2 linked regions of the Mytilus edulis genome follow. The protein of the gene in region 2 purifies or fractionates together with the protein of the main gene of each other region. This does not show direct contact. Links are inferred from orthologs where the notes say so. Each region holds a gene or a part of one and is shown on either strand. Other genes may lie near its edges.

Region 1 (7,529 bases), on a different chromosome or scaffold from region 2:
ACAGAAATACCTACCTGTAGGAATAAAAGAGGAGTTTGATATTAACTAGTTCTGCAGGTCTTGAAAATATTTTTTTATCCGTACAGATCGGAATCATGCTTAAACTTAAACAGTCCGTTTATAAAGAGTAAACAATAGCAAACCAAAAGTAAAGATTGGTGGCCTTCAGCTGTTGTCTAGCTGCTCTATGGTCGGGTTGTTGTCGCTTTGACACATTCCCCATTTCCATTCTCAATTTTATTTCTTGCTTTATAAGTATGAAATACTTAGATTATACAATCAAGTACTGTTCAATTTATTTCAAAAGATTGTTTCTACATATCTCATTAAATAGATGTCTTTATAACTTCTTGATTTGACTGATTGATGTTTAACGACAATTTAAACACTTTTGTGCTACTTCTTGGCGGTCAGTTTTTCTTTGGTGGAAGAAACCAGAGTGCCCGAAACTCCTAATCAATTTAGATTATAGTCGAATGCCACTAGGCCACCGAAGCCCCCTATTCATTTTTTTATGAAAACATAAACTTGCTTAAAAATCATATCTTAAACATCTTCAATCCATGTTAGGTTCGGCTAAAGCGATTTTCACTGTATATGGTATGTCGAACGTAACTAATTTTTAACGACAAGAATATGTTATTCTATAGTTTGAAAAATTGATAATGATGACATAAAAATCATATTGTTTTCAACATTTAGACTATAATATCGCACCTGAACATGTGTTTTCAGACAGAAATCGACAACAACAAAATAAAGACCACACAACATGGCACAATGAAAATTGATGGGGAAAATCTATTGAATCATATACAGTAAATTAAATCATGAAAATGATATTTACCAGCTAATGCCTCGTTTAACATCAATTTTACGGTATATTATTTCTTGACAACTCCGACTGCATTAGCAATGCATTAAAGGCAGTGTACACGGTAGAGATTTATTTACAATTGCACATTCACTAAGTTAACACGATTATTAATAGCCTTTTAATTAATTTAATCAGTTTGGTGCACCACCTTTATTGACTGAAATATCACACAAGAGATTCGTTTAACAATTATATAAAATTAATCTATTTTTGATTCGGATTTTTTTACTAGCACGACGTCAATAAATACTTATCTTGGAATGTTTTAAAGTGGGGTACATATCATTTGTCAAATTTGCTAACACTGATTCAAAAAGCGAATAGGAGGGAGCAAAAAGTAAAATAATAAAAATACCGAACTACGAGGAAAATTCTTATAGGAAAGACCATAAGCAAATGGCAAAGCACAAACACATCAAACCAAGAGATAACAACTGTCGTATTCCTGACTTGGTACAGGATTTTCGAATGTAGAGAATGGTGGATTATACCCCGGTTTTATCGCTAGCTAAACCTGTCACTTGTATAACGTGACATAAAAAAGGCCGTTAGTTTTCTCGTTTGAATTGTTTTACATTGCTATTTTGGGGCTTTTTATAGCTGACTATGCGATATGAGCTTTGTTCATTGTTGAAAGCCGTACGGTGACCTATAGTTGTTAATTTCTGTGTCAATTTGGTCTCTTGTGGACAGTTGTCTCATTGGCAATCATACCACATCTTCTTTTTTATACATAAAATTTATGCAAGCCATATTAAAGTGAACCACTGCTGGTCAATACTAGAAGCACAGGGTCGAAGATGTAATTAAGCAACGGGAGAATTAGAGGTATAACATGGAAAAAAATACCGTCACGAAGTAAACATTACCGAAAAAGTGTTCATAGAACAAACATATACGATTGTATGGGAACCGTTGCGTGCTAAGTTTCAATCGTGTGAATAGATTTTAAACTTTAAAAAAATAATTTGAATTAAATCCAAAAGTTTTTGATAAATAGGAGTGTTCATTTTTCAGTAGTATGCAAAAATCCTAAAAGGTATTGATAATCAGATATAATTGAATGCTAGAGACAGATCATGTTCAACCATGTTAACCACAAATCATTTGAAGATATCAAAGATTTCAATCACTTGAAATGTGTATCTGTGCCTTATTTTAATAATTACCTAAAGTTTTTATTACGTTTCATGCTTTTTTCCAATGATAGGATAAATGTTTTTTTTACATTATAATCTATATAGCTATAGATACTGTTGCAATTTTGCAGATATTTGGAATTTGTTTGCTTTCAGTTTATGATATACTTATATATAGTAGTTTTATAATAAAATTAGTGTAATTAGTCGTCGAGCTACAGCTTTCAACAAGATATTTAACAATTTGCTTCGTAACTTCTTATTTGACCATGAAACAATTTCATGATTATCGATACCAAGTACATATACGTTAGACGTCTTAATACCGAAACAAGGTTAAGACGAAAATGACCCGCTTTTAACCTGTTAGGCTCAAAATTGTTTTTGTCACCCACGTGACAGTAATTGAGGGTAATAATGGAATTACATGCTGTGACTTATCAAATCATTGTCTATCAAAGATGGAGTTGCAACGTAGTGATTGACATTAGTAGTTGACATTGTAACTTAACATGTGGTACAATTGGAATTTTATCATATTATGGTATTTAAATGCTGACTTTATACATTGTATGAGATCATCTGAAAACAAAGAATTTGTCACCTACGGTCACCTAGACATATCTTCTATTCTACACTTGAAGTCTTAGTCATAATCAATACTCTATCTGATTGTGAATTATTTATTTTCAATGATATATATGAAGCATGTTCTGACTTTAGTCACATTTACCACACTTTTCTTAAATTGTCCGTTGATAACTTAAGAAGACATTAAAAAAAACGAAGATTCTTGCTCCCTCGGACAAATTTTACCTTTTAAGGATTTGAATTCTCTTAATTGTCTCATTTTGGTTACAAAGCTCTTTCAATAATCAGCTTTAAATACATCTTTGGTTTTCAAAGTCAGGGATATGAGCTTTCCCTGATGAGGATAAAGTCAGAAACACAAGAATTTTTGAAGAGTTATTTTTATTTTTGAATTGTACAATTTGACTTCAGAGTTGTCTACCTTTAACTAGTAAGAAAAACAAATGATCAGTTAAATAAAGTCATATACTAGTAGTCAAATTACTTAACCTTAAGTAGATTGATCTTAGTGACATTGATAGATTTTATGGTCAAGGTACAATAAATTGGCCAGTCACAGATTTAGATATGTGTTTGCATAAGTTTACACATACTTTGTATTTGTCAATATTTTTTTTTAATTTGGTCCTCAATGCTCAACTTCGTACTTTTTTTGGCCTTTTTAACTTTTTGTTATTGGGGTGTCACTGATGAGTCTTTTGTAGACGAAACGCACGTCTAGCGCAAATACTAAATTTCAATCCGGGAATCTATGATGAGTATATTTAAGGCCTTTCTATACAAATCATTCAGGAATATTTGTATAAATAAAAGAGATAAATGCATTATTGTTTTCGAATTTAATTGTAGTTCAACTGGCCAAAGTTGAATGCAAAATTTGACCAGAATCTGTGACATGGTTCCTTTCCTGAAACAATGTAGCACTGTCAGCCAGAAAAGCTGGAACTGCTGTTCTCTATTGACATACCTTAGATATACCCGTCTTATATTGGGTTTGTCCTGTTCAATCTTTTGTTTTTATGTGGTGCTTTCTTTTGGCAACTACTTTTTTCATCTTTCATAGACTCAGCTTTTTTATATGTATTTTATTGTCTTCTCCCTTTTGTATGTCCTTCTTTCACTCCGCAAGTTGTACAGGTTTTCGCTGAAGTTTAAATTGTATCTTTGTCTTTTTGTTATCCAGAATTCAACAAAACTGTATGATTGAAGTAGAAGGTATCAATCATACATTCCATTGCAAAATACCCTTTTGTAAAAAGTAAAATAACAAATATACCGACCTCCAAACAAAATTCCAATCGGAATGTCCTTTTTAAAGTGGCAAAATCAAACACATACAAAGACTGGAAAACAACTGTTATACTTTTCTTATCCATTATCAGCAGAAATATCTCCTTTTTTATCAGACCTAGAGAAACTGGAATGATATTTTATAAATTTAGTATGACTGACTCTACAATTCATATGCATACAACTATTTTCTTTAATGTCGATTTTTGAAAACTTTGTTGCTCTTTCTTGCAGGATTATACTTTTTAAAGAAAATAAATACAGGGAATAAAAGAGATAAGTCATATATTTATATTCGGTTAAGGATTTAAAAAGTATTAAAAAAAAAAAAAAAATTCCGAGGAAATTGCACATAGGAAAGTCCCTCATCAAATGGCAAAATCAAAAGCTCAACCACATCAAACGAATGTATAACAACTGCCATATTTCTGACTTTAATCCACCCCCCCCCCCCCTTAAAGATCAAATACAATAATTTTGACATCCTTGGTGTTCTGTTGAGGTCATCTTAAGTTTCTGTAGAGTGTAAACAGTAGCGTGATCAGTGTAATCTATCTGTATCTTTCCGTTCGCACTTTACGTAAGGCTATACCTGTCAATTGAAACATTTACCTTTATATTACTTGATTTTGTACGGACTGGATTGTAATATTTTCATTAAAGTAAGTTGATTTTTTATTAGGATATTTTTTTTAAACATTGTTTACAAAAATAAATCGTTCAAATTGTGGAAACAAAAAGAATATCCAATGTATTTCTCTTTTCTCAGTAGCATATTTTTTTTTTAAATTGATGGAAATTATTTCTATGATGATTGGCATAATATTTTCAAGAAAAATAAATTGGAAACACAGAAAAGAATAATCAAAGATACCAGGTTTATAATTTTGTAATTCATACATCAAAGATACCAAGTTTATAATTTTGTAATTCATACATCAAAGATACCAGGTTTATAATTTTGTAATTTATACATCAAATACCAAGTTTATAATTTTGTAATTCATACATCAAAGATACCAGGTTTATAATTTTGTAATTCATACATAAAAAAACCAGGCTAATAATTTTGTAATTTATACGAGCTTGTTTTCTACTACAGACTTTTCAGTGGCGCTCGCATTAAAACAAATGGTAGGCCATATATAATACGGAGATTTAGAGCTTTTAATATATGGAATTCCGAAACGTTATGCCAAATACAGCTTACACAATCTACCTGGTGGTAAAACAACCTTAGTGTTTGGAATAGTTCAACAATGAATACATTGATATAGGAAGATGTGATGTGAGTGTCAATGAGACAACTCTCCATCCAAATAACAATTTATAAAAGTAATAAATTATAGGTCAATGTACGGCCTTCAACACGGAGCCTTGGCTTACACCGAACAACAAGCTATAAAGGGCCCCAACATTACTAGTGAATTGTACATTGTACATTTACAAAAAAATGAACACTTCAATGGTGTTTCATGTCAACAAAAACATGGTGACTTCTGGGTTTGTGATTATCTCAGATACAAAACGTCCACACCTTCATGGATACCAATAATCACCCGTCAAAAGCCTATGAAATATGGTTTCTCGTTGATGAAGACCATACGTTGCCTATACTATAAATGCTTACATCCACTTCATTTGAATTGTCGTGGGTAGTTATCTAATTGGCAATCAAGCAACTCCTCCTTTTTTATGCAAACAAGTTATGATTTAAAAACAAATTGATAAAAAGATAGTTCTAGATCATAGTGTTATTCGATATAAAATTGTTCATTCTAGCTTCGTGGAACTATTTGGTTGAACCAAGCGCGATAACTCAATAGCATATAATTGATGGATATTCTGATGATGTATTTGAATTTGGACAGTATTTTAAGTTCATTTGGTTTCTTTAACAGTAAATGATAAACCTAACAATCGTGTTCCGGAGCACCTGAGATCACCCCCTTTAGTTGGTGGGGTTCGTGCCGCTAAGTCCTTAGTTTTCTATGGTGTGTCTTGTGTACTTATACTTGTCTGTTTGTCTTTTTCTTTTTTAGCCATTGCGTTATCAGTTTATTTTCGATCTATGTGTTTGACTGTCCCTCTGGTATCTTTCTCCCCTCTTCTGTAATAGTTTGTCGGTTCCAATCTTACAATTTTATATTTATCTCGTTAGCTTTAAAGGCAGTTGTTTAAATTTAAGTCAGAATGATACAGAGAAATATAATGTTAAATCTTATTCCATCAATAACAGTTGTATTGTTTTGCGGTATTAATTATTTTGTTAAGGTTCTACTATTTCCACGACTTTTTTTGAATGAAAGTATTGCAAATGCAACATCTTGATTGCCAGGTATGAATTACATTTTTAGATTAAAATGAAATATAAGTATGTAATGATTCACCCTTTCATGTGCGATTCAGTAACTACCTAAGTAGCATACCTAATCATATTGTTACACAACTGTTCCGCATTGACGTCCACTTAATGTCATTAATGATAAATTACTATAAATTATTTCAGGGTATTGTATGGTATATCAAACTTAAATTTAGAAGTTAAGGATTCGCGACGTTACATTAATACTAGTAATAGAGTCGCACAAAAGCCACTTCTTAGCATATTTTGAAGACCGTACGTTACCCTATAATTGCTTAATTTTACAAATTATGACTGGGATGGAGATTTGTCATATTGGCACTCATACCACATCTTCTTATATATATTTAAGTAGGAATTCAATAATTTCTGCATATTAAATTGGGTTTTGAACCGGTAAATATACAGCAGCTGCCCGAACCGACAAATTTATTTAGTACAGTGCTTTGTTTTGCATTGTGAAACTAACTTATTAATACTTAATATGTTTCTTTACCTATAATGCTCTACCCATTTCTTAAGCTGATATTTTGCTTTTTTTTGTACATGCATATGTTGCATACTATGTTCGGAAGATTGGACTGTATGAATCCATTAATGCAAGTCATAAACTCAACCATACTTCTCTTCTATCCAATTCATAAATCGATGCCACTGCTGGAGGACATAAGGTTCATCCCGAGGAAATCACTCGCGCATAAGTATCAATGCTTCTAATAAAACTTTGAATCAAATTCGAAACACTGAGGTTTTTCTACCCTCAGACGTAGATGATCTATCCGTATTTGGTACATATTTTTTGTTTTTTATATTCTTCAACTTCGTGTTGTATTGAGCCTTCCAACTTTTTTTTAATTCTAGCGCCAATAAAATGTCGTCGTATCGGTATGTAAACAAAACGTACGTCTGGTAATGAGTTTTTTTTTTTTTAGATAAATCTTAATAGAAAAAAATGACATACTTTCTAGGTAGGTTGCTACACGATATCCGCTAATATATGGTATGGTTATTGCAGTGTCTTTGTGTTTTGCTGTTTTTAAGGTTGAATTTAAAGTTCGCGCTGTTTTTAAGGTTGAATTAAACTTCGTTTTTAAGTAAATTATTGCTTATATTTTATTATTATCAAAGAATGCGACGTATGTAACTTCTTTTAACTTATAAAAAAAGACTTTTTTATAAACAGATTTTTTTTTAAAACCAATGATGAATGACAACAATTTGCTTACAAAATTTATGGATATTCATGTATGTTATTGTGTTATTCTTG
Region 2 (8,015 bases):
CAAAAATACCGGACTCCGAGGAAATGCAAAACGGAAAGGTCGGAATCAAATCCTTACATATCCTTGGATAGATAATCCAAAATGGTCAATTAGTCGAAAAGGCGTCGGTTTAAATTTCGAAGGGACGTCTTCAACGTTGGCACTACACACCGATGATTAAATAATTTCTTTATAAGCAGTCGGCACAAGTATAGTATTATGTTCGGAGATGCAAGTTCTTGAATAACAAAGCTCGGAGTTATACAGGCGCTGATGAAATGTTGCTGTATTGGGGAAAAAAATCATTAGGAAGCTAAAATCCCCCCTTTTGTCCTGAAGATTTGTTCTCAACTGACCTCGTTGTAGATTTCTAAATGTAATTAAAGATATGAGGCAGACTGAGTTTATATGGTATTCTTTATTTCAATTTCGATGGTACCGCATTCAAGTGCTTCTGTTGTTCCGTTGTTTCCTCTCATAGTTGATGCATTTCCCTCGTTTAAAACCCGGATTTGCTTTCTATCGATCGATTTATGTATTGAACAGCGGTTTATTACTGTATTATGTTTCCTTTTATGTATCGATGCATCCAACATAGGTATCAAACTTTGAGTTTTTAATTAGAAGACATCATGCAAAAAGTGAAGTAAAGGAATAATCTTAGCTCCTTTTTTCTATTCTTTCTATGAAGCTCGTGTATAAAGTCTGCTTCATATCAATTACACAAGTGGGCAAAAAACGAACACAGTTGGTTATCATACTGTCTTAAACTTCTATTATCAATATTGAAGTTTGGTATGGCAAAAGTGTACAGGGTACAGAAGTCAAATGTACTCCTTGGAGTCCGGTACATAAATAAGGCCGTTAGTTTTCTCGTTTGAGTTGTTTTACATTGTCATTTCGGGGCCTCCTATAGCTGACTATGCGGTATGGACTTTGCTCATTGTTGAAGGCCATACGGTGACCTATAGTTGTTAATTTCTGTGTCATTTTGGTTTCTTGTAGAGAGTTGTCTCATTGGCAATCATACCACATCTTTTTTATATCCTATAGATCTTGGAATTAGTATCAGCTTCTGATTGACACCTTCCCAGGGAGATGGTAGTTTCATAGTAATTTTAAAATCTGTCTTTAATTGATAAGTAAATTGATGTTGATAGTTTTGAAAGAGGTTTTGTGAAACAATTGGCAGATCAACAAATGTGACGTTGTATGAAGGACATGCATTTAATTTTGGCGTCCAGTATAGTGAAGGAGGATCCAGTTCTAGTACTATACAGTTGCGTTACCAAATATAGGTTGAGTCTGACAGTGAACACTGTTGTGACAATACATATATTGTAATCAAACAAGTGTTTTTTGTTTCGTCTCCATAACTCTGTTCCTTGTCCTTGACTCAGTATAAGGAGAACTTTTCATTTCTGAAAAAGATTGGCTGTAAAATTATCGAAAGCTAGGATTCATTAATGTTTTGGCTTTTTTCCCTTGGTTCATTGACCAACGGAACTTTCTCTATATGTAGTAAGACCTTGGTCCCATATATGTTCAGTGTTTAGTAATAATCAGTTCATTGGACATTTTCACATGTCATCTTTTTCCATTTTTTTTTTATTATCAGCTTTTTAATTTTGAACTTTCCGTTTCTATATTGCATGCCTGCAATAGGATAATTATCTCCCTGTTGAAACGATATTCCAGAGCTTTCATTTCTTAATATGATTTGTTTGATGGAGGATTGCTGTTAACCGATGGTCCCAAGTCAAGTGGTGAAGTTGAAGTTGAAGTATCTCATTGACAATTTCTAGGAAGCCATGACCAGTCGATTGGTTGTTATTGAAAAAAATTTTGTCTCTCTCTTGGCATACTTACAGTTTCCTTTGTTTGACAACACCTTCCTCAATTTAAAGTTGTATCGATAAGAGACTTAGTATGGCGTTCATTATCACTGGACTAGTATATATTTGTTGATTAACAGCTGAAGGACGCCTCCGGTGCGGGAATTTCTCGCTACATTGAAGACCTGTTGGTGACCCTCTGCTGTTGTTTTTTATTTGATCGGGTTGATGTCTCTTTGACACATTCCCCATTTCCATTCTCAATTTTATTATTTCTTTTTGACTTGGCCAAAACTTTTCAAGCGAATGTGAATGGATCTGCACCTTGCTTAACAAAATTATGTCGTAGCCTTGGTCGAGTATTTTAGAGATGGAGACACGAGTTCAATAACAAAATTGAAATTTATTTATTTCGGAGAAAATGTGTTGCGTTACAATATTGGTATCAGTAGTTGCAGATTTAGTGAAAATTATCATGGTTAAATGTTAAGAAATGTATATATTCTATCAATATGTTGAACGTTGAATCGTTGTGACACTAAATGGTCCACCTTCCTACGACAAAAACACTCTTTCAATGCTTAATTTCACAACTAGTTAATAAATAAAAAGTGCATACTACTTTATTGCAGATAATTCGATATCACCAATAAGTTGTTATATCAATGGAAGTTAACCGGGTTCAATACGGCTTTGGTACATGTTTATCGTCGAAAATCGTACGTTTTTCAACTTGTGGTAATGGATTGCTGTCTTGTCTCATTTCTATTTATTTGTCTTTACTCTATGCAATTACAGCACGATCTACTTGGATAACCTACATAGACCATTACCATCGACGATTCCTTTTAAGTTGCCTTCTGGTTTGTTGAATGCATGACACTTTTCTTTACCGCAAACTGCTATGGTGTACAATTTTTTGCTAATGAAACCCTACAACATAATCATTTCAGAGACTGATCTATTTGTTGCTATACACTTTTTCTAGACTTTGAAACTTATTTTGTTTCTGTAAAGTTAACAAAATATGGTACCCGTTGTGTGTAATCAATTCTTTAACTGTTTTCATCCCAGCTCTCTGAAACTGCAACAAGAGATTCCTAACATACTGAATATGTGCACCTGCAATGTGCATTCATTTGAGCTTTTTATCCAACCTTCGGAAATTGGATACGACTTGAATCCATTATCTTTCAAAGTTTTAGAAAAACACTAAGGACAATGGTAACAATGTTTGATTAAATCAACTTCATGGAAAGTGGTCATCTTTCACTACAGAAAAATCTTTGTCGGTTTGGACGGTTCAAAACCGGCTTTAGGTATGGTGATTTTTCGTGGTCTGTGGAAAGTATGTATCCAATTTGTGAAATCAAATCCTACAGCAATCAACCTATATATTCTTAAATGTGCACCTGCTATTATATTACTCTAATATATTGTTTGAGTAATGTTGTATCTCGTTTTTACACATTGGGAACTTTGACTTTTTCTGTAAAAATTACAGAAGACGGTTCAAGTTTAGTGTAATAAACTCCTATATAAAGGCAACAGTAGTATACCGCTAGTGTCCAATTCAAATTTCTAAAACTTCACAGGGAGATTATTTATATTTTGCAGGGTTCATCTGATATTATAGAATTGTTTGAGTAAATTATCTCATTTGACCAGCTTTTTTCAGCAATATTAATAAAAGAGGGTATATTTTTTGTGTAATCACCCGCTGCTACAGTTTTCAGCCCAGTTCACTGAAACATCTCCGGACGTTCATATGTGTTGGAAGTTGTACACCTGCAATAATGGAATTGTTTGAGTATTATTTTACTCATCATCCAGACTTTTTTAGAAAAAATTATGAAAAAGGAATAAGTTTTGTGTGTTATCAACTATAGTTTTCAATCCAAATCCTTGCATCTTTACAGGAAGATGGCACATATGTTGAAGGTGTGCACCTGATTTTACGGAATCGTCCGAGTGATTTTTCTCATTATTCCAGTAATTTTTTCAGGAAAAAATAAGTCACAAAAATATAGCAACCTTGTCATTTTACTTTTGTTCTTTTTACATTTTATGTAATATTGTTTTCATATATTTAAAAGAACAACTTAAGAATCATTCCTGGCAAAATGGCAAACCGGCAAAAATTTTTTAATCTTTGATTCATTTTAAAACTTAAGAGAAATTGAATTTTCGGAAGCCTCGATACAATTTACTTATCTTTTTTTCTCATTAGACTGAGATTTTGGGTTGTTGTCTCTCTTACGTTCATGTTGCATCTCCCTAAATCATATAACATTTTACATGCTTAAAACTTGTACCTTGATTTCAGTAGTGTTGAATTATTATTTAGTTATCCACTCTCTTTTACAGAAGCAAAAATCAGTTAGAAAGTGTTGAACATTTCTACCTTGCTTCAGTTGATTTTGGTTATCTTTTTTGTTTTCACTTGTGCTTTACCTTAATTTTCTTACAATTCCCATGTCCATAAAGAGCAAATATTTTAATAGCAAATAAAATAATTCACGTATTTACATTTGGAGATTTTCGTACAAGACCACTTCAGTTTTATACGGTCTTTTATAATCAATCTCTACAAAAACTAAGGGTTTGTTGTTTTCACGAGGTATTTAAAGATACGTCAGCGTGACAGCCCGCCCAGGTTGTACGGCAATACGACGTGTAATTTATTAGCATCTGTCATTTTAATTACATTAGTTTTAATGTAATATAGAAGGTCTCTGAATTAATTCGTAATATTGAACTAGAAGATCAACTGTAACACATTAGACAATTACACAATAGTTGATATGATTTGTAAAATTAAAAATAAAAATTCTGCCTTTTCATAAGAAATCTATTTGCTTTATATATCCGGTGGGCTTGATAATCACGATAATTCAGTAAGCAAAGATTTAGTTCATTAAACTACAAGTTTCTCTTTGTGTGACAAACTCACTGGCTTGTGACATTTGTAGTCGGTCTTACACAGCAATTAAGTACGGGATTCCTTCAGAAAATATGCCGTTTATTTAACGCTGTGGTAGTTCTCGCATCTTGTGTGGTCCGCGCACTGTGGTGAACTGTTGCTTAGCAACTAATGTAAGCTGCTGTTACTTGAGCAATCCTATTTAAATCTGGCCAATCCGATAACAGACAAACACGATATCATCTTGTCAGTCATTACGAGGAGGCGGAGCTTAACGCAAAATCGGGAGTCTTGAAGTTCGCAAAGAATGATATCGGATGTATGGAGCTTACAGTGTTTTGTTTGGATTTTATCTTCTATGAGGACTTCAGAATTATGAAGAAATTTTCTGATATAAAGATGTACTTACATGCATTTCAAACTGTGTGATAATAACATCGATGTTAATTAATAGTGTATAAACCGAACAACATTCCACGTGGGTTCGAATAGCATTCAAATGACATAGTTTATTTTGTGAATTCCCCCTTCAAAAACGGGAAATCATGAGTATTCGAAGGAGGGGCACTAATTCACAAATTGATGAGGATTTGTTAACGAGGACTAGTTTTGTGGATGCCAGGATAGCGTATAAACAAGTCAAAAAGGTATGTGAAGCGAGGCATCTCCATGACCTCATTTCTATCACAACTCTCTGTGAGTTCTTTTTCTGTAATAACATAACATGTTGTGTAGTTCATTAGTGGAGAAAAATTACATTTGTTAGAAGAAATTCCATGTATATTAAAACATTGTGAATTGATGTGTGTTTTAGCCTTAGGGTAATGTCATCTATTACAACATCACATAATAATGAAGTTAGATTTATCCATACTTTTTAGCATATTTTTTTGATGGCAAATAAGTCTAAGTTCCAGAATTTTAACTGTTATCTCATATGCATGTATGGTCCATATTTGTATGACAGAAAAATGCTTATCTTCATCCACTTTCAATATGTTTTTGTTTTCCCAATAGTTATAATTTGACCATCAATAAAGTGTACGTCTACATTTTCTTTTTGTATTTGCAGGGTAAAGCAGATGGGAATAAATGTGCGTTGTGGGTACGATGGCATCTGCAAAATTATATGTTCAGTATTGGTTGTTTCATACAATTACATTGTGGGAAAGTTTTGTTTATGGGATTACTATTGTTGTCGTTGTGTTGCATCGGATTCAAACTGGTCAAATTTGAAACTGATGTTGAAGCTCTTTGGGTAGAAGGTAAGTAATCGTGTTAAATGTGTATTTTCATCTTTATACATTCGTTAGGTATAATGTGAGGCAGTATATTCATTCACAAACAGCGCTTGAATTGATAAAAGCAAGTAAGCCGCCATCTTGTTTTGTGACCTAGAAATTTGATCTTGACTGTGTGTGGTCTCGTCTGTTATATTAGGAACGCTGAAATCATCAGAGATTGTTGACGGTTATAGTCGAACAATCGCACACTCACTGGTCATAAGTTTGATTATTCCCGCTCATTAAAGTCATTAGATTGGTTGTGATAAAATCGATAAACAAAGGACGTGATTACATCTACCTTGCAAATTATCAATATTCTCTAAACTGACTTTGGAGCATTTGTGTAATATCAGATTGGCACTCCTTTTTCAACAAGATTTGGTAACAAAAAAGTCAAATATTAATTACAAAAATAACAATAGTGCATTATCAGTTCATCTTAATCAGATATTTTGGTAACGAGATTACCGTTTTCTTGGGAGGTCTTCTGCATACGGGTTCTTAAGGCAAACCTCTAACCAAAGCAATTTTTCATGGGAAAACTGTACATCTAATTTTTGTATGCTTTAAACTTTATATTCTTACAATTTTTTTTTCTTGATTGAGCAATTTTAAAGTAATATCTGGAAATATAAAGAAAAATCTGAATGATATATTTACGTCACCTTTAGGGTCATACGTACTTTACTTAATAAAGTCCGAGATAGTGGTATGCTGAGAAAACAACTGGCTGTTTTAGAAAAGTTTTAAACAAATGCAGTTGGAAAGAAACTTTAATGTCATTCAGTATATTAAATTCCTGGTGGTCTATCACACATGGTTAAGAACATTTTAAGAGAATCTAAAAGGTAGTTTTATTTTTGTGTGTTTTATTCAATAGGGAAGAAGGACTGTCATTACCTTTTCAGTCTAAAACTGGTTTTGTTGTAAAACATTTAACAGCATGCAAAGAAAGATTTTTTGCTGATAGTAATATTTTACAACTGTTTTATGTTGAACACATCTTTCTAGTTAATAATAAAATCATAAAGCCAAAAGCATATAATAATTATATAGTAGTATACTTTGTAAACAACATATCCAGTGCATTATTTAGTGTTATACACAAAGTCTGTTCTTGCAATCTTTTTGATTAAAGTTTTGATGGCTTGGGCATGTGTGAGATATAAATTCTGCTTCAGTTGGAATACAAATATTTTTGTGTTATCATCTACAAATGAATTTTACACCAGAAATCAGAAATAACTTCAGAATTTCTTACATAATGTATCATCTGCAATAAAATTTCTGAATTAAAGCATATATTTTATTACGTTGGCTCATAGAGGAGTAGGTAAGAATTGTATGGTTTGAATGTTACATTTTATCAAAGGTATATTAATTATTTTAATTTACTCCAGGTTTCATTTATTTAATTAACTTTTTTTATTTTGCTAATAATTTGGGCGGATTAATTTAGCATGAATCCTTATTAGGTTTATATTGAAGTGTTTTTGTACTTCATTGTAGCTTTTTGTTATATGTATATGTAAATTGTAAATCTCATATTGAAAAGACATGAAATATTTGCTTCTAGACATTAATCCACCAACGATCAATCAATTAAAATGGAGATCAACCAGAAATTGGGGACATCTTTGAGCCAAAAATTTTAAATGTATGAATAAAAGAGTTTCTGTTGTGGTTTTGCATTTCCAGATTTGTTTTTTCTATCTCCCCTGTCAAGATCAGATAAAAAAGTGAAAGAAGGTTTTAAGATCATCTGAAGTGATATAAATAGTGAATGTTGTTTGACCTGGATTCCACTGATAATTTGACAATTTTAATTTGTGTGCTAGTATTTCACATGATGGAGGTTTTTTATGGCTGAATGAATCAAATACTTTGTATTCTACCTAGGTCATTGATAGTGTGACCAACTTTTGATAATGAATACCAATTTTCTTTCCAAGGGATGAAATCTTAACTTTAAATGAAAGAGGAGATATTATT

Evidence for each region. The genes of interacting proteins can lie anywhere in the genome.
Region 1: the proteins of protein patched homolog 1-like (region 2) and sonic hedgehog protein-like purify together in Drosophila melanogaster (affinity purification with western blotting; 3 studies listed by BioGRID). This does not show direct contact. The link is inferred for Mytilus edulis from reciprocal best matches to the Drosophila melanogaster genes ptc and hh.

What each region holds. Positions count from the first base shown.
Region 1 is NC_092345.1:55,468,405-55,475,933, reverse strand, and holds the start of sonic hedgehog protein-like, read left to right. Parts: upstream 1-4,507; 5' UTR 4,508-4,559; intron 4,560-7,529.
Region 2 is NC_092344.1:121,132,117-121,140,131, reverse strand, and holds the start of protein patched homolog 1-like, read left to right. Parts: upstream 1-4,990; 5' UTR 4,991-5,282; coding exon 5,283-5,384; intron 5,385-5,809; coding exon 5,810-6,002; intron 6,003-8,015. UniProt on the Drosophila melanogaster protein: Segmentation polarity protein. Acts as a receptor for the hedgehog protein (hh). Associates with the smoothened protein (SMO) to transduce the hedgehog signal leading to the activation of wingless, decapentaplegic and patched itself.